Linked DNA regions of Lytechinus pictus. The protein of the gene in region 2 binds, or shares a complex with, the protein of the main gene of each other region. Links are inferred from orthologs where the notes say so. Each region holds a gene or a part of one and is shown on either strand. Other genes may lie near its edges.

Region 1 (6,827 bases), on a different chromosome or scaffold from region 2:
TGCTATAGAAATGTTAATTGTATAAAAGTATTACCTGAAGTTCAACAGTAGATTCTTCACTTGGTAGAGAATCTATCAGTACATCTATGTCCTTGGCTGTCCTGGCAATCAGTTGAGCAAAGAGCTGAGTGTAATCCTCATGATTAGGCTGCTGTTCTTGAGAGGCTAAGGGTTAAAGGCAGATTAGAATTTAAATCACTGCAGGGATTAAATGAATCAAAGGTCATCCAATGCCATGGACATGAATGACCTTTTGACCAGCCTCAATGCCCTATTAATTGGTCTTTTGTTACTTTATTCTAATTAACTAAAAATAAGAATATATGTATTTTAGTGACAGATACTGTACTTCTTACAAAATAAGGCCCGTAGGATGATTAATAGTCATTGTGAAAAAAAACCATAAATCCACTAGAACATTGCCAAGCATTTGTGGTAGTGAAATCAGATAGGCCTATCCCATTTTATAAAACAGTTTTAAAAGCACTTACTAAATATTTTAAAATTGACAGGATACTTAACATTTGGCAGTACCACACCATATATTCACTTGCCAAAATCATAAAAATCTACTACTTTCAAAGAAAACTTCATATATTCATGGTTTATTTATTAGAACAATTACACATATGGCAGCCAATGGCAAAAATGTGTGTGTTTACAAAAGGATCATATAAAAAAAAATACAGATTCTTGCACTTGTACTAAAATTATGTTTTATAACTATTTGTACATGATTTTGTAAGGCACTTAAGAGATCAATTTCTGTCAATACCAGAGCTAGGCCTACACTAAAAACCTTTAAAATATTTTTATCGTTATTATATTTCAAAATAATTGCTGTCACAACAACTTTGGTAGCAATTTTGCTCTACTCTGACAAAAGGAAGCAAGTACTAAAGGTGCAATATCCTGTAAACAGCAAAAAATGTCTGAAATTTACATTGACACAACATGCATCACAGTGGCAAACTGCACCAAATGGATAGCATAGCATTTGTCTCAGCGAGTGACTACATTTTTGCTTATATTACGTGACATCATCCAGCCACTATCACCAGCTAATTTATGAATGACATTATAGTAAGCATGCGCAGTACAAACCTCCCAGTACCTAGCACAGCATTCTATCAAAACAAGACTTCAATTCTTTATCACCTCGTATCGACATAGAATTTTGACACTTTCCTATATTTCATATGAATTTTGGAATTGTGAGAGATATTTTTGAGAATCTGTTTTCAAACAGATACAGCACAGGTAGGCCTATAGCATATTTCAATTACCTTCTTGCTTTTCTGTCAAAATTTTACCCAATAGCGTTGGTGTTTCATTTTATTCGCTAGTGTTCACAGAATCTATCACAATGTATACGGAGTCAATTGAGTTCCGGGTTTGCGAGCGTTGCATGAATATCCATGAAATTGCTGAATAAAAATTAAATAATCATATCATGTGCAGAAAAGGTGGCCTGATAACGTTATCGCTATTGATACATTCGCACACCTATTGAACAAATAATTGTGGTGAACACGTGGTCATTATGTGATCTGCGGGATGAATCAATCAGTGGTCTCTGAATTGCTCTGTAGAGCAGGGCTATACATGTACGTTGAACACAGTCAATTGGCAGTTTGCCACTGTGTGCATACTGTAGGCTTCATAGCATTATCATTGTGTTTCTGTGAAAATACATTTGTAAAATGTGAACGCACTAAAAACATTACTTTCTTCCTTTAGTCAAAATAGAGAGCTGTAATCTTCATGACATTCATGGACATACGTACCTTGTTTCTCACACCCAGGGAACTTGGACGGCTGAGCACTCTGTTGGAGTACACCAATGCTATTGCACATGTGCTCAGCAAGCTGAAATTAACAAGAGATATTAGACAGATGGACAGAGGAATATGGAGAGAGAGAGAGGGGGTGTTGCAAAAGGAACTGTTTCTGAATGTTTTCCAAAAGGATTTGGGGATTTTTTTAGTTTTATTTTTTTATATTTTTTATCCCGTTTTTATAATGAAAAATAAAAAAACATATTGAGGCCTCCAAAATTGAAGCAGGTGAGGACAAGAAAAGGAAAAGTTAGACCTCCATGTCGCGTTCGTTCTCGATCGGCCATTTTGTTTTCAATTTTGAAAGAAGGAGAACGAACGTGACAGAACTTTTCCTTTTTTTGAGGGTCCAGTTTATGCCTCGATGTCAGGATTCTGTGACACGATAGACCTTCATCCATATATTATAATCTAGGTAAGTGCATTATTTATGTTTTCCCCTTTTATTTGGGGCGCTATTGCGACCCCATTCTACCCCATTTTGGAGAGTACCCGCTAACTAATATTACAGTTACACGGACCAGTCCCTGCCTGGGTTAGAATTTTAATGCCGAAAACGCCCTGGTGCACCCATGGGTGCATTATTGCCGCCGTCTACAGGAAAATTGAAGGAACAGCGCATGCAAAATTGAATCAAACTCCCGCGAATTTCCCCCAAAAAATTGTAAAACTAAGTACTTATAAGAAACTTTCCGAACGATGTCAAGTCAATTCCCCCTAATATGATGAATATCCCTCAAATTGCGTCATTTAAGCGTTGATTTTTCTTCTTGTTGGCAAAATACGGACCCTGCTACCATCTCCCAAATTTTTTGTATAATGAGCTAAAGAGGGCGCGCGATTTATCTTCATATCAAAGACACCACAAGGGAAAGACTAGGCACAAAAACCATTTTACACGTAAATTGATGCAAAGCGTTACGCGAAGTCGGCAAAGTGTCCAATCTTTTTACTGTAAAGACTTTGGGGGAACGTTAATTGACAAATGAACGGTAGCACTTAAGGTACATAGAATTTTCTATATTTTTTGTTTAATTTGTCATCGCTTTGAATATTTTCCAAAAAGTATTATCGATGCTTGAAAAAAAATAAAAAAGTATTATCGTCAGCAAATATTATAAAAAGTATGTTTTTTAAGTACTGTAATTGCATTTATTGGTGTCTCTATTTTATCAAACAATCATTGGAATTGCGCATACAATGAATACAAATCTAGTTTAAAAAATACCGACAATCTGAATTAAGGTTGTGAATTGTATTAGCACCACCAATGACCTTCCTTTTATTTCCGTCGAAGAGACATGTGAAGCAACTTTCCAGGCCGAGGTAAGCGATTTTGCTCTTTTTTTGCATGCTTTTTCCATTAATAAAATTCGTAAAATTGAACATTTTATTCTTCGCGTTATGAAGCGATGTTAACCGACAACTCTAAAATCCATACTGTAAACACGTACGTGGTGCGAGGTTTGTATAGCACTAACCTCGCAATACGTGTGAGTGCCCCTGGTGAGTCAGCGGAATAAGTTTCGGCTAACAAAGTCAATGTTGAACATTATTCACGTTATGATATGACACTCATTCAATGAACAAGGTTATGAAGCGATGTTAACCGACAAACTCTAAAATCCATTGCGTAAACACGTTCGTAGTGCGAGGTTAGTACTGTATATAGCATACTAACCTCGCAATACGTGTGAGTGCGCAGACATGTCATGGGATAGTCTGCAGGCACAGACCCTCATTGGAACTTTGATCAACAAGTGTGCCTCCACGCAAAGACTAGCACATACAAAACTTGCTGTTCGCGAGAGAGCCTTCAGTACACAAGGCATGAGTAGGCTGCACATTCAGACCCTTAACTCGAGCGAAGGGTTTGCCCAGCAGACTAGACATGGGATGTGGCCACCCTGTGAGTGTGACCCTTCCTGGCTTTAAAAAAAACATCACAAATACGAATACGTGGGGCCGGCATATATTTTGATTGAGAAACTTAGTATTATTACAATCTTGACAGATTACCATTTGCTATCAAACCACTTTTTTGTAATTCAAACAATTTCACAATTAATCAAATTATAATATGCATCAGTAGCAAATAATATTACCTGATTTACAGCGTCTTGAAGTTGTGTGACACGGTCTGCCATCGCCAATTTATTGTTTTCTCAGCTGTAGCAAGCTTAACAGTAGATGGCGCACTGTCAAAATTTATGATCAAATGCAAAAATTAAAGCTAAGGAGATTGATGATTTGCAAAGTCACGGCGAGTTTCCCAAATCAAAGTAGACATTAGGAGGAAGAAGTTGAGATCTGTCCAAAATGAGTACTCTTGCATACGCCATACCTTTGTCTATAATAGGTGGATATATTGTTGTATCATCTGTGTTGTTCAGATATCCGACATTGATTCATTCGAAGAAGAAATCAAAGATTAACGCGAAGCTTATCGCACACCGGGGAGGTAAGTACGATATTGTCGAAAATGCATTGAAGGCATCGCCCGAAACTTGGGGGGTGTGATTTGTTTTTTTCCGTATCCTCTCGCTCGCGCTCGACGCGACGTCAGGGGCCTGGGGCCCGTTTCTCAACACCGTCATAAGTCTAACTTCTTGACTAAATCGGAGATAGTGAGCTACTTGTCCGCTAACCGTTTCACGAAGCCCTCTTTACCAAGATCAGGTACAACAACCTCACTAAATATTTATGACACCTCCGAACCTGTCATAACTTATTTCTTAATGACGTAGTGGCAGCATCACATGGGTTAGACGAATAACCGTCGTTTCTGGGGATTTATTCAACAATTTCTGACATTTTACTGTAATCCCCATTTACCGACGGTAGGGTGTACGTGTGGGCTCGCATGTGTTCTCATTCCCTCCCTTTTGTCAATTCACAGTCCAAAGTTTGATGTAATTTTACACATCGAATTTACAATCTAAGGATGTATAAACAACAAACTTTTAAAGCTTTATATCTCAATGTTTAAATACTTTAAACGATATAGATGAAAAAGGCATGAAAAATATACTTTACCGATGTTTAATTGGGTTGAACACGATAAAAATGGTCAAAATGGCAGCCAAACTATAAAATATTTACAAACGAACGTCAACAATCACGAATGTGATATCGATATTGCTTTCGATATTAATTATTATACGATCTGCTCCATATGCGAACGAAACCGAAGATAAACGATACTAGTACTAGTTATAATCGCGATATATCGATTCGAGACATTAAGTTAATAACGATAATGACGTCATTCAAGATGGCAACTTGCAAGAAAAACCGTCAAGTCAGGTGAAAATGTCTTAGATGACATATTTCTCAATCATCCAGAGGATTTTTTTTCAATAACTCCGGCCCAAGGTATGCAATTACTTAAGTTATTTATATTTACCTGATAATGGAAACCATGAAACTTTCAATTTTGCTTAAAAAACAGTTTTAAATCGCGATCTATAAAACGCTAGTTCACTATACGTTGGCTGTAGGTACGGGGCCCCATCCCCTTCAGTCTATGTATGGTGAGTGGAGCCAACGTAGTTCAGCGGAACAACCAAAATACAGAGACTGAAGCTTTGTGAGTGGAGCCAACGTAGTTCAGCGGAACAACCAAAATACAGAGACTGAAGCTTTTGGTCTACACATGGGTAGACTATGACATGCAAAAGTGCCTAGAAATTTGAAAATAATAATCTTACGTAATCAATCATAGAGGTTGAAATTACATCATAAAACAAGTGGGATAATGCATTCAATGATAATTCTAATACAAAGAAACTATAAAAACTGTTGGTAAAACGCCACAAAACCATTCACTTTGAAATAGTAAAATGATTTAATCGATAAAGATTCTACCACGTCAGGCCATCCATAACTGGACTCGTATTTGTTGTTTTCAGACCCCTATTAACATTTGGATAAATTCTATCTCTAATTTATGCATAGAAATTGTCAAATCGTATGTTTCGGTATCAAATATTTATTTTTGATTTTGTTAAACTATATTTTGATGATGTTTGGAATCGTAGAAGGGCGTATAATTATCATCATTTTAAAAAGAAAACCGTTATGGTTTACTTTCGTAAACTATTAAAATTCGATGTCACGGGGGTACCCATCTCAACGTCCACATGTGATTTTCTAGTCATGAAATAAACTATTCATAATTTAATTTTCTCAGCAATTGAATGCTCCAATCTTCATGGTCTAAGTATGTATGATGCATAATTTACATGTGCTATTATTTTGAAAAGATGTATTTCCCAATTTATCACAATATTTGCAATTTTGTCATAATTTTTCTTTTTGCAAATTATGATATTTTGTGACTAAGGCTACGTCTCGTCTGCTGTTTTTACCGATAGTATCGATATCACGGTATTCTAGTTAGGAAGCCTTTCGTGAAACAGGTTTAGTAAGATTGGAACTAACTCCGTGGTTGGTGGATAAAGATATGACTAACTTGTCCAGGTGTTGAGAAACGGGCCCCTGGGGCCGATTTCACGAAAGCACTCACACAACTAGTTAGTATAAGCGGGGTGTTTATCAAATTTATGATAAACAAATACAATTCGTAAGCTTGCTTTTAAATCAAATTTTATACAATTTTGTGAGATATCACATCATTTACAAATATTTTGTTTATTTTAACAGACGAATAAAATATGTTTGCAGATAATTTAGGCCTATTTGTAGGTATGTGACAAAAAAAATGAAAATCATCAAATATGAATAAATTTGGTATCACTTGAAAGCTCTTAAAAAGACCTTTAAAATGATACCAAGAACTTTAATTTTCATCAAGAAATTAGAAAGTTATTCCAGTTTAAGTTGCGCATATTCATCCAAATTTGTGGTCATTGTCTTAATGTAAAGTCAATGCAACGTTCTCGCCAACACGCGTCACCTTTGTCGGCCGCCGACAACCGTGAAAGTTTTGTGAGCCTTGGCCGACAACCGTGAATGTCCCCGACAACC
Region 2 (6,827 bases):
GGATCTGGTTGACCCATTCATTTAACCTCACTGCACAAGTTGAATGTGACATTTGTTATTCATTAGAAGTACGTATTATTTATATCAAACAAAATTTTCAAAAGGGTCATTATTAATGCCAGTTCATCCCTGCTCAAACTCTAGAAAAATTATGACTCATTAGTCCGACATCGACTTGCGTTTAAGACAAGTCCACCCCAACAAAAAGTTCATTTGAATAAAAAGAGAAAAATCCAACAAGCATAACACTGAAAATTTTATCAATATCGGATATAAAATAAATAAGTTATGACGGGGACATTTTAAGGTTTCGCTTAATTTCACAAAAGAGTTATATGCGCATCCTGGTCTTTATGCAAATGAGGAGACTGATGACATCATCCACTCACTATTTCTTTTGTATTATATTATATGAAATATGAAATAATCTAATTTTCTCCTCTTTGTAAAGTGAAACAACGATTAATTCTTCCACGAACATGTGGAATTAGCATTGTCTAATACTATATGGTTCAGTCAAGTTGGTCCTTATTGTCAAATCTGTAACAAATTATATATTGTATATATTTCAAATAGAAAACAAAAGAAATAGTGAGGAACATCATCGACCGTCTCATTTGCACGTCACTGAGATGTGCATATCACTGTTTTGTGAAAAAAAAGCGAAACTTTAGTTTAACAGTCATAACTTTCTTATTTTTCGTCCGATTTTGATGAAAGTTTCAGCGTTATGCTAGTTTGATTTATCTCTATTTATTCAAATCAACATTTTTCTGGGGTGGACTTGACCTTTGAGCTTTGAGGGCAATATGCAACACATTTGTTGAATCGGAAAATGACCATCCCCAAGCCTTGAAATAAGCGGGCGCTGAGTGCAAATTCGCGCTCATAAAGCCATCAATTGCGCCCATAAAGCCCCAAAATCATCAAAATTTTGACGACCGGGCGCAAATATTTTCCCGGTAATTGCGCCCGCCGTGAGTGAGCAGTGAAGCCATATCATACATGTAATTTAAATATCTTAAAAGCCAAAATCAAGTAACTTTCAATTTACGATAAACACAGTTTAAATTGCCAAGTGCGTCTTTTTTTCTGTACCATAAAAAGTGAGCTACGTCCGTCTTTTTTTTTCTGTAATACATGTGCGCGCGTGCTTCCGGTAGCGGTTTTTCCATACTTCACCATATGCAATTTCTAATGCACACATTTCCAGTTGGGATATCACAATTCTGCGATATAGTAATTCCAATTGCACAGGAGATAAATCCGTTAAAATCCCTGTTCACAGCACATACGATGTGCGAGTCTTTTATCCTCAAAGTCGCCGACTTTGCTTGTCAAAACGGAGCCTTAATAATCCAAAATCACTTAGCTTATAGTTGTGAATTGTAGCTTTTTAATTTCTTTCTTGGAGAGAGGTAAATATCAGACAATAAATCATCAAACAAGGCTCCATCTAAAAAAAAAAAGAGGAGGATGCTGTGCACTTGAGTGTGGTGTTAGCTAGCCAGTTTGAGCTCATGTTCTCTGCCAGAGCTCTGGGTGAGAATTCTATCAGTAATGGCCTAAGTGATGGTGATTTTCCGTTTCAGATACAGTTTAGATTTCATGTTAATTTTTGAAAACTGTCAAAAAACTTTATGATTTCTTCATTGTGATGAATATTTAAGTTATTAATGAATACATTTTCACCGAATTTAGACTCTCCCAGAATGAAAGGCATTTTCTGTGGAGATCTGCGTTTTCAAATAACTTGTGAAAAACTTAAGGTACATGAACCTACAATACATGTACATAGCCTGTGGCTATGTGCTGGAATTTGAATAGACTGAGTTAGATATTGATATAATTTCTTCATGTCTTTAACATAATTTATATGCAATCCAAGTGCACCTCACAGTCACACTCACCCACACCCGTGATTCTAACCATGAAAAAAACCTTAAAAATTATTATTTTTTTTCTAAATTTATTATTTTTTTATCTGAATTCTCTTTCTCCATCTCTCTCTTTTTTATATTTTCATTTTATTCATATTTTTTTTTTTTTGGGGGGGGTTCATTGTTCGTGGTTCATTAAAGATGAAAAATAAATAAGCCCATGTGTGTGTGGTTGTAAAGGGGATGTGGAGTGAGGGTGTCAAAACACACTTAAACATTTAAATCTGATTTCTTAAATGTTTGAATAAGCCTAATACTTAGCATGCTATTCATGTACTAATTAAAAAATTGTAGGAGCTGCGCTTACTATAAACAAATTTGCGGTGTGGTTCACTTTTATATATATTTTTTCTAAATTGCCCCCGGTTCCTGTAAAAAGCCTGTGAGCCGGGGGCAATTAAAAAAAAAAAATTGATCCCGGCTCTCAGGTGCTTATTTCAAGGCTTGGCCATCGCCCAAAGAAAAAACCTTCCCTAATTCATACATCAGCATCAAGAAAACGTCACCTGAGAAATAAAAGATAAAGGCCGAACAAAAATTGATAATATTCATGAATTATGCAAACAAAAAATCACTTTTAAAACACAATTTTGTTCATCCATTTACCCATTTCATATTTTCAGCATCAAAAGACCTTTTCGAACTCGGAATCATGCTCGAAAAGAGAGAAAATTGATGTTTCATCGAATAGCGACGATATGAGGGAGAAAATAAAACCCGGAAGTAAGATCCCACAAAACTTAATATTTTCAAGATGGCGACTTTTTTGGGATGTACGAGTGAAAAGATCGTCTCTGTAAAATTAATGGACCTCAAAGTCAAACTCAAGAGTCAAGACACATGATGTAAGTTTTAAATGTAATCGTCTGGCATAAAAAATTAAAATTTATTTCCCTTACTCCTTAGTCCTTACAGTTACATACCATTCTTATTTTTAAAAAAGTTTGAGTGTTTGTCGAAATTATGTTATTGATCTCACCAATTTAACACGGTGACAGATACGAGAGTGTCGTACTCTCGAACCGGCTGTGATAGCTGTGATAGTTTTAAATGTAATCGTCTGGCATAAAAAATTAAAACTTATTTCCCTTAGGCCTAGTCCTTACAGTTACATACCATTATTACCATTCTTATTTTTAAAAAAGTTTGAGTGTTTTGTCGAAATTATGTTATTGATCTCACCAATTTAACACGGTGACAGATACGAGAGTGTCGTACTTTCAAACCGGCTGTGATAGCTAAATGTTGGCAAATCTGAAGTTACTTTTAACATAGGCATTCGTGCTTTCTTAGCAGTCAGGTAAAACAACCTCGGTATAACTAGCCAGGCGGCTTCTAGAGAGTAGAAATCATTTACTAACGTAAGGTCACTCTCATGAAGCCAGGGCTTCCGTCATATACTTTTGTGTGTACCACCAAAAAACCTGAAACTTTCGCCCCCGAGATTTCTACTTTCTTTACTTTCGCCAACGTTACAGACGCGTGCGTTCGGGTAACGTTGGGGAAGAACAATAGAAAACAAGATGGCGGCGTAAACATCGGGCAAGTCTCTTTCGTCTTTACACAATATTTCTCTCATTTTTTTGATGAATTCTTGTTAAAAAATAACAACGAGAGCGTAGAAATGTCGGAAATAAAGTTTTATCCCATGTACATGATTTAGATTTTAGGGCTAGATCTTTTAAAAAGAAAGTAGAAATCTCGGGGGCGAAAGTTTCAGGTTTTTTGGTGGTACACACAAAAGTATATGACGGAAGCCCTGGCTTCATGAGAGTGACCTTACGTTAGTAAATGATTTTTACTCTCTAGAAGCCGCCTGGCTAGGTATAACATAACATAACATAACATAACATTAACAATAACATGTTCAATATCTAATTCACTGACACAAATATGAACGTATGGGTCACAGAAATGACATTAACAATAACATGTTCAATATCTAATTCACTGACACAAATATGAACGTATGGGACACATTGAACAAGTTCTCTCACCAAACATTAGCGTCCGTTTTCGGCCAGTCAGCAACAAATGCAAGCTCCATCTTCCCAGTATCCAATGCTTCTCATTAATTTGTAAAAGGAACACTTGATTTGAAAGGTTCGCAAATTTTGATTCACTTTTAGGCAAAACTGCAAAATTCAGGCTGCTGCAACCAACTCAATATTCATCAACGTAGATGGCGCTTGAGAGTGACGCGTTTTTTGTTTGTTCAAGGCAGTTTTTATTGTTTTTCTGATTTCTTTCAATATTCGCAATGCACCCCGAAGAACAAAAAAAAAAAAAAAAAAACAACAACAATAATAATAATGAAAAAAAAGAACAAACATAAATCATATATCAAAAAATAGAATTGTAATGTACTCCTCCTCTAATTTTCTTTTTTCCTTATTTTCTTTTTGCATCCACTAGAGGATTCTAAAACCTATACTTCTAACTTTACTGTTCTGCTCTTTCCACAGCTGTGAACATTGCTGATTCAGCATCTACTGGATAAAGACAAACGGTACAAGAACCCATTTATGTTCACAGCTTTTGTGTTCAAACCTGCCTAGCTACCACCATGCCTACCGTATGCTGCCCAATTCCAGGCTGCGACTACGCCACGCCGGATCTGGATGCCTCTATTGTTGCTGCCCTGCTCACGACCCACTCCACAATTCATGCCTCTGCTGGGACAGGGTCTGCTGCCAAGATAGAGAAGGTCAAGAGGCCCACCATAGTTGCAGCCGGTACAAGCGAGGACTGGGCTTACTTCACTTCTCGATGGTCCGATTATGTGGAGTCTACCAAGATATCTGGCAATTAAGGACAAGGTCGTGCAACTCCTTGAATGCTGCGATGAGCCTCTTCGCAAGGACCTTATACAAGATCCTCTGGCGTCAGCCTCACCACCAAGTCTGAAGCAGAGGTGCTGGCGGCAATCAAGAGGCTCGCTGTGCGTGAGGAAAACACCATGGTAGCTCGAGTGGCGCTACATAACATGCGCCAGGACCGGGATGAGTACAGTCCGCAGCTTCGGGCCCGCTTACGTGGTCAAGCAGGGATCTGTAAGTTCATCATTAAGTGCCCTGGTTGCTCTATGGATGTCAACTACACTGATGAGATACTGCGGGATGCCCTGACCAGGGGAATCGCTGACCCCGAGATTCGATCAGCTCGACCTCTTGGGGGACAAGAACCAGACCATGGACTTCCCAGGACCAAAATCCAATTGAAACCAGTTGGATTTCCAACTGGTTTCAATTGGTTTCAATTGGTTTCAATTGGTTTTAACTGGAATATAACAATTTCCAATTGAAACCAGTTGGGCAACTGGAAATCCTAACTGGAACCCGTTGGGCAACTGGAAATCCTAACTGGAACCAGTTGGGTAACTGGAAATGACTTCCAACGGGAAATGATTTCTAACTGGAACCAGTTGGGTAACTGGAAATCCTAACTGGAACCAGTTGGGTAACTGGAAATGACTTCCAACTGGAAATGATTTCTAACTGGAACCAGTTGGGTAACTGGAAATCCTAACTGGAACCAGTTGGGTAACTGGAAATCCTAACTGGATCCAGTTGGGTAACTCAGTGGAAATGACTTCCAATTGGTTTCCAATTGGAAATTTTCCAGTTACCCAACTGGTTCCAATGAAACCAGTTAATTTGCATATTATCTGCCAGTGTGCACAGATTAATGTTTTATGTGATTCATCATCATTTAAAATGTATATATTTAATTCTTTTCTATTTCAAGTACCATACTTGTTTCAGATAAGTGTTTAGAATGCTTAGCAGTGAAAACCATGTTCATAAATGTTATATATTATAATTAAAACAGATTATAAGATAATTAGTACATCACTAACTGTTACCAAATTACATCAAATACAAATACATATATTTGAAGATCTTTCTTGTTATATACATACATTATGAAAGTCTATTTTATCAATGCACTTAACAATGGTATTATAGACATAGAGCACTGCTTCTTTGTTGGCATGAGCAATAGTTAGTGCAAAATCTAATTAATTTGTAACTAATTAAGTCATTCCAACTGGAAGTTCCAATTGGATTCAGTTGGAAACCAATTAGTTTCAACTGGTTCCAGTTGCCTCCAATTGGTTTCAACTGGAACCAATTGAAACCAGTTACCTCCAATTGGATTCAACTGGTTTTAATAGGGAAATTGGAACAACTGGAACCAATTGAAACCAGTTGCCAACTGGTTGCTTAATTGGTTTCAACTGGAACCAATTGAAACCAATTGCCAACTGGTTCCAGTTGCCCAATTGGTTTTAACTGGAACCAGTTGGCAACTGGTTTCAATTGGTTCCAGTTGTTCCAATTTCCCTATTGAAACCAGTTGGCCAACTGGTTTCAATTGGTTTTGCTCTAATTGGTTTCAGCTGGATTTTGGTCCTGGGTTAGAAGATGTCTTCCAGTTCATCGAGGCGAAGGAGGCTGGCAAGCGTTCTGCTTCATCCCTCCTGGACTCTCACGTCGTAAACTCCGCTAGCAGCTCATATCGGAAAACCAATTAAGCAAATGCACCTCAAGGAAGGCCAAGACTTGTGTAACTACTGTGGCAAGAAGGGACATGGACGGGGTGCCCCTGCTCACGTCCGTAAGACACAATGTGATGCCTATGGACACAAATGCAGGCACTGTGATAGATTCCATCACATGGAGAACGTATGCCGAAGCAGGGACAAACCAAAACGTCTCCCTCCGGTGACCCCTGAGGAACAGGAGAATGCTCTATTTGACTCCTTTTGCTCTGTTCATGGCTATGATCACTCCTGCGGAGGCCATGGCATTCCCCTTGATCATCACGTTTATGATAGCCTTAACCAAGCATGGATCAGAAGGAAGTCTTCCCCGCAACCCTTTG
Region 3 (6,827 bases), on a different chromosome or scaffold from region 2:
AATTGCTACTCAAAAAATTTAACCTACTAAACAATTTTCAATTCATTTTTTAAAATTCAATTAATTTATCTAACCATCATCAGTTATAATACAATTGCAGAGATACATAAAATTAATCATCATCAGACATATTGCATATCGCAAGGCTCCACATTAACTTTTTTTGGTGGTGGCCCGTTCGGGCCACCAAAACCATCAAATAATTTTTTTTGGTGGCCCGATATTAAAGTTTGGTGGCCCGAAAAATATAAAGAAAAACATTAAAAATGAATAAAACAAACTTCTGAAATATTAATTCTCATGCAGCCACTACCACTACCACTATGTTACTTTTACTTTATACATCTTGTATGTAAACCTTGTTTGCTGTTATTTTACTTTGCTAATTGATAAATGTTTCTATCGTTGTAAAAATGAAATGATTGAAAGAGAATAAATGAATTGTATTGTTCGCAGGTTGTGTGGACTTTTTTAAAAATCTCTGTATAGAGATAATGGTAAAGTAAATAAGTAGTGCATAGCAAATTCAGATAGATGTACAAAACAATGGTTTTTCCTTCCTTCCTCTTTGAATCCTAAAACCTAGATTATGCCCCAAATCCAGTTTATTTCTGTTTTCTCTTTAGCAGCATATTATAGAAGGAGAAAATCACAGAAAAATATGCTGCAAAATTAGAACAATGCATAAAAGGGGGAAACAAACGAAAATAATTTTCAAAAAGTATATTACAAAAAGAAAACAAAAATAATAAAAGAAATTAGTGAAATAAAACAAAAGAAAGAAAATGAAGAAAGAAAAAAACAAAGAACAGGGAAAAAAAGAAAAAAAAGAAAAGAAAAAAATTAGAGAGAAAAAAGAAAAGAAAATGAAAGAAAAATTAATAAAACAAAGTTAATAAAAAAATGGGGAAAAGGGGAAAATTAAGAAGCCATTACATATATTTTTTAACAGCTGTGGCAACAGTCTATTCTGACTGGAATATAATTATTAAAAGCCAAGCAAATAATTTTCACTTACTTTTTGGGAATGGCACATTTTTATTTTTATATCCTTTAGTTTGTATTATTTTATTTTCAGTAGAAACATATTTTTTAATCAGGCATATTCAATGGGAAGGGGTATAAATGGTTTAACCACTGTCAAAAAAAATGAAAGGAAAAAAATAAGAAAACGGCAAAAATTATATCTGGTGATTCTGGATAAAAAGTGTGAAAAAAGTCCTTCCCTATATTTGCCAAAATGTTGGAAAAAAAATCACATTTCATATCAATGAAATGCCTTCCCAAAGTATTTACTTTCTCAAGAGTGGTTTAAGAAGTCATTTATAAACAAGAAAGAAAGAAACTGTCTGTTTGTTTTTGGCTAGAAAATACACAGCTTCGAAAGAAACCAAGTATCAACATACATACAAATGCACATGTGGGACTGTGATGTGTTTTTATGTGTATTAATTCATGTGGAAATCGGTCTTTTTGAGTCAAAAGAGAGGTCATAATTCCTCTTCTTAATACTTGCAAATAATCAGGGTACACCAGATTTTCGTAATATAGACTGTAGAATTGCATTTCATTGGTGTAAAATGTGACTTTGACTGAGATTTTCAAAGTTCTGTGGAAGATTTCTCAGCAGCAACATTTTTTATCGCAGCTCCCCGAATCTGAGTAGGCTGAGCTAGATCTAGAGCACAGCTGTATTCAGTGGCTTCATGCAAAGCTCACGCCAGCCGGCCGGCGCGGTTGGCTGGATAATAGCTGCTGTATGCTATAGCTGTAGGCCTAATATGCAAACTTTGTGTGTGTGTATTTGTGTGTAGATCAACAAAAAGGGCGCATGACGAACTGGCTTGCAATTTGAGCTGTAGAAAGTTGATAAATGCGTGCAAAATTGGGAGAAAAATTGCGCTACTTTGAAAATTATTGGTTGCCCGATTCGGGCCACCAAAACTTAACATTTTATCAATAATGGTTGCCCGAGGTGAATTTTTGGTGGCCCTGGGCCACCGGGCCACCGCTAATGTCGAGCCTTGCATATCGATACAAATACCAAAACATACATCCATAAAATGATGGTTTGGTGACCCAGGAAAAGGCATAGCTTATAAAAAGGGGCCAAGTTAAAATACACACTGAAAATATGATATTTACACTATAAAGTATATTGACACAACAACAACAAAAAAACAATAATTAGAATTTTCTGTTGATCCATTATTTTTGTTTTGTTAGATTTTGCTTTGTTTTTCAATTCTTAGCTTAATGTCACACAGTCATTAAGAAGAACTTACTTGAGGTTCATCAGGATGAGGAACTCTTTGCCTAACTGCTGATGTCGCCTCACCGAGGTCTCTGTGTAAAAAACAAAAACAAAAACACAAATTAATATTTTTCAAGAGCTCCTTTACAGATAAGTTTGCAATTCTGACAGTATTAGAAAGAAAAAAAATACAGTATGTTCTGTAAGTGTAATGTTGTGGTCTATGACTGAGTTAGACCAAAAGCTTCGGTCTCTGTTATGTTGGTTGTTCAGCTGAACTCCGTTGGCTTCACTCACCAAATACAGAGACCGAAGTTCTAGCGCGATCTGTACAGGGGACTCAATGGCCATATGTTTATGTACTTAAGATCGGATAAAACGGGGAAGTGAATTTGCGCGACAGCCGAGGTAAGTCACTGTTTTTGTTCCTTTTAACTCGATTTTTCACCGTTTCTTGGCAATTAATGCCAAGAGGGAATATCAATTTGCATTTTGGTCGCATTAATTTTCAAAATGTTTATTGATTAAAGACAAAAATTGAAGAGCCCCGACGGGGGGATTTTGCATTGCAAGTCCCCTAATGGTGGCTGCACGCTAGCGAGCCGTCTGTGTATGAGGAGAACTTAAAAAAAAAAAATGTTAAAAAACTCCTCAAAACAGACGGCTGCCAGCTGTCTATGACTGAGTACGACTTATGAGCATGCAATAAAGTGAGATGTATGCCAACAAAATATCCCTCTTTCCCACCGTTTATCCCTCCTTTCCATTGTTTCTTTTTCTTTCTGTCTCTCCTCTTTGCTCTAGGCCTAGTCTTACTTCCCCATTTCATTTTGACTTTACTTTTTCTATTGCCCCTTTTGTTTTATTCTTCTTGGGTTCTCACCCCTTTTCCTCTTTTTCTGTTATTATTCATTTCTATTTCATTTCGTGCACTTTCTCTTTTACTCGTAGAATCTAATGCTCTGTTTTTCTTTCCTTTCCTCTCATCTTCATGGTATATCAATCCCCAGCAAAGTAGTAGCGCTGCCGCTGGCTCCCTCCTCCAATCGCGGCTGCCTGGCTTGGGCTGGCCGAGGGCCGAGGGCGAGGCGAGAGTCGTTCAACATCTGAACAAGGCCAAGCCCAAGTTGTCATTACAAGAGTTAGGTAAGAGAGAACCAAAATCGTTCATCAAATGTATTCATCACATCACCAAAAATACACAGTATAATCAAATTTATCTCACTTTGTTAACACTTCTGCTTCTTCCACAAGAGAAAGAAGTCTTGATTTTGCCGTCATGGAAGCCGCCATCTTGCTTTCGTCGTGACAGAAGTGAACGTAGATGGTGCTCGACTACTTTATAGATTTGGCAAAAACTTGTGAGTGAAAATGTACCGTATGTAATACATATATTTGCCCCTTGATTTGCCCCCACCACGGGGGGAAAGGCAATCTTTCAATAAAGTTCAAAGAAAAATAAAAACAAAAGAAGAAGACCAAAAAAGAATACTAGATGAAGCTTCATCCTCCATTTTTTCACCATCTGTTTTGGGTTTTTTTTTTCTTTTAATTATTATCATTTTTTTTTGCATGATTAGCCGAGCCCCCTCGATCCCTTTTCAAGACCCGTCATGCCCATGCATTAAATCATATATTACATTTTTTTTTAAGAAGGCGATATCCAAGGTGCGGAATAAATGTTATTTATCATCAAAACTATATAATAATAATACTTTACGCTCTTTCGTGATACAAGGTCAAGCCCGGCCATGCAGTGGCGACGTGAACCCAAAATTTTGAGAAGGCCAGATATGGCATATTGGGAAATTTTTTTTTTTTGCGAGCGAGTGAAGCGAGCGAGCAAAATTTTTGACACCTTTTCACATAAATCCAAATTTGTGATAGATTTTGACATAATATTCAGAAAATAATATCTTTCACCCAGCTCTTTTTCCTTTCTTTTTCTCTTGGTCTGACAAAAGGCTCCCCCCCCCCCCATTTGTATAGGCCCTTCGTACATCACTGGTCAAGCCGGTCTATAATATACTCTTTTTTCTTTTTTAGGTGATTTTTTACGGATTTTCAGTCAAATTTGACTATTTAAGCCGAATTTATTTTCCCTCATATAAAACTACGCAAAAATAAGTTCACAATGGTGACCGGCTAGGAGATTCAATCAAAATTCATAACGTAAGAAATATGAACTATTAACATGAAAATTGTTTAAAGGGGAAGTTCACCCTAAAAATTATAAAAATATTGGTGAAGGTTTGAGGAAAATCCATCAAAGGTTAAGAAAGTTATAATATTTAATTAGAGTTTTTTTTATTTTTTTGGGTCATATATGAGCAGCTGCCCCATTATAAAATGCATAAATTTTAAATTTGCAGTGGTTCATGATGACTCATTAATTGTTTGATTTCTTTCAGGAGTGGGTGTGACATATTTTTTTTGATTGGTATAGGCCTATACTGATCGAAGGTACAATAAAAACCATTTTCAATTTTATGAGAAAATGAATTTCCATTGTTTGTTTGCTTTTTTACCATACGATATGTGGAAGCTGCTCGCGTATGACGTCACAAATCCAAAAATTGAAATTCTAGTAAATTAAAAAAAAGTTCTTTTAGGGTTTTTCCTCAAACCTTCACCAATGTTTTTTTTATATTATTTCTGCTATTTTTACAACTTTTGTCAGGGTGAACTTTCCCTAATCAGCGGTGGTGAGGTGGTGAGGATTATTTTTCCCCATTGCTAATTTAGCATGAACATGCTTTTAATCGCCTGTTGTCAGTTGTTTTTTCTCTCTCTCGTTGGCCCTATGTATGATTCATTAATACATTTTTTTTCAATGTTAATATTTTTGGTGATTTTGCTTTTTTTTATTCTTGCATTTATACAAGCCACGTTTCTTGGTCTCTTTTACATTTCTTTTCTTTGTTTTTAAGCATACATTCATACATGTACTTTTGAAAATGTTTTATCTATCTTTGATATTTATTTATTGTATTTTTTGCAGTGTTATTGCCAATTAGCAAGTGTCAGCTCATTTTTTTATGATTGATTTTTATTTATTTATGTAATTGATAGGCCTATGTATTTATGAAGGTCTATTTCTGATTTGTGTGTTGAAAAATGGATATAGAAATGAAATAAACCACTGAAAAGAATTAAATTCTATTTACCATTTTTATGTTTTTGTTGTTGCTGCATATTATGGTCTATACGATATAATAATTTTGTATAGGCCCTACACATTTTCGGTATGTTGTTGGTATTGGTGGCATTCAGTTGCTGAGAACAGATTATAGGCGAATTTTTCTTCCTGATTTCTTTTTGTTTGACAATGAATCATATAACGACACATAAATATAATGAAACATACTCAATATCTGTATTTTTTTTTCTTGTCATTATAACCTTTTTTTCGGATATAGATCACCACGAGGGATCGGGGATATTTGCTCTTACCTTTTAAGCTTATAACATCAGACACGATTTTTTTTTAAACTTAATTACTTAAAAATGTTCATCTTGAGAAATCACATGGGATTGGGATTGATTTTTAAAAAATACATGTATATTTCATCAATAAAAAAGGGTATATTTATCGATCTAATTGCATCGAATGATCTCGAAGTCTAATCTAGCTGGGCCAGTTCATTTTAAAGGAAAGCTCTCTCTTGCTTTCATTGTTATTATTATTATTATTATTAGGCCTAGTAGATCTAGAGGTCTAGATCCGTCGCGTCCACATTGATTTTTGGTATAAATTTATACATAAATTGGATATGAATGTACCCAAATTAGACGAACCACCCTCTCTGAACAGTGAACACTTCCGGTAAACAATAATAATAAAAAAAACCCTAAAAATTATAGCCCCCACCGGCCCGGCTGGCTGGGCCCCCTCCTGCCCGGCGCCCCCGACCGGCGGCGCGGCCGCGCCGCGCCGGCCGCCGCGCCGGCAAAAAAACCGATAGTATACTTATCGATATCGATATCGTGAACGTGCGTGGATCATTCTGTATGACTTGGAATTCAGAAGATTACGAGATTTCAACCGTGAATTATCTGCATTTAGACCTCAACAAGGGGACCTAGAGATGAATAACCAATTTGACATGTAAGAATACTAATTATTTAGTGCAGTTTATATGATTTTGGATGTAACGTCTGTTATATTCTACAGCTGGTTTCAAATGCCAGTCCCACCTATTCATTTTTATGTTTTATTTAGCCTATTTATTGGGCGCGAATGCAGTTTCGCACCAGCGGACTTCGAGAGAATTCCCTCACCAGTAATTGTTCACAAATGTCATAGCAAGTCATAGTAAGCCCACCGCTTTTCAGAATATCGAGATAGGGAATCCCTGTATTTTGGTTGGATCTCGACCTAAGTTACTGTCCTAAGCCACTCACACTAATACTTAATAGTAATACGAGGTTCGTATATATATACGAACCTCGTACACCGGACCTTGTTTGACCGTAGATTTTGAAGTAGTCGGCAAACATTGCTTCATTGCTGAAGTAATATTTGCCGAAACTCCTTCTCGCTACGCACCGGGGCTCTTTCCGGTAAGTAGCA

Evidence for each region. The genes of interacting proteins can lie anywhere in the genome.
Region 1: mediator of RNA polymerase II transcription subunit 16-like (region 2) and mediator of RNA polymerase II transcription subunit 21-like share a complex: the UniProt entries of both Drosophila melanogaster proteins name them as parts of the mediator complex. The link is inferred for Lytechinus pictus from reciprocal best matches to the Drosophila melanogaster genes MED16 and MED21.
Region 3: mediator of RNA polymerase II transcription subunit 16-like (region 2) and mediator of RNA polymerase II transcription subunit 4-like share a complex: the UniProt entries of both Drosophila melanogaster proteins name them as parts of the mediator complex. The link is inferred for Lytechinus pictus from reciprocal best matches to the Drosophila melanogaster genes MED16 and MED4.

Annotation. Positions count from the first base shown.
Region 1 is NC_087246.1:11,387,606-11,394,432, forward strand, and holds the start of mediator of RNA polymerase II transcription subunit 21-like, read right to left. Parts: upstream 4,048-6,827; 5' UTR 3,986-4,047; coding exon 3,944-3,985; intron 1,870-3,943; coding exon 1,788-1,869; intron 166-1,787; coding exon 35-165; intron 1-34. UniProt on the Drosophila melanogaster protein: Component of the Mediator complex, a coactivator involved in the regulated transcription of nearly all RNA polymerase II-dependent genes.
Region 2 is NC_087257.1:27,439,976-27,446,802, forward strand, and holds the start of mediator of RNA polymerase II transcription subunit 16-like, read right to left. Parts: upstream 4,141-6,827; 5' UTR 3,988-4,140; coding exon 3,938-3,987; intron 1-3,937. UniProt on the Drosophila melanogaster protein: Component of the Mediator complex, a coactivator involved in the regulated transcription of nearly all RNA polymerase II-dependent genes.
Region 3 is NC_087260.1:10,321,786-10,328,612, forward strand, and holds the start of mediator of RNA polymerase II transcription subunit 4-like, read right to left. Parts: upstream 3,571-6,827; 5' UTR 3,548-3,570; coding exon 3,480-3,547; intron 2,347-3,479; coding exon 2,286-2,346; intron 1-2,285. Other genes in the region: eukaryotic translation initiation factor 4E type 2-like, read left to right, coding at 6,343-6,362. UniProt on the Drosophila melanogaster protein: Component of the Mediator complex, a coactivator involved in the regulated transcription of nearly all RNA polymerase II-dependent genes.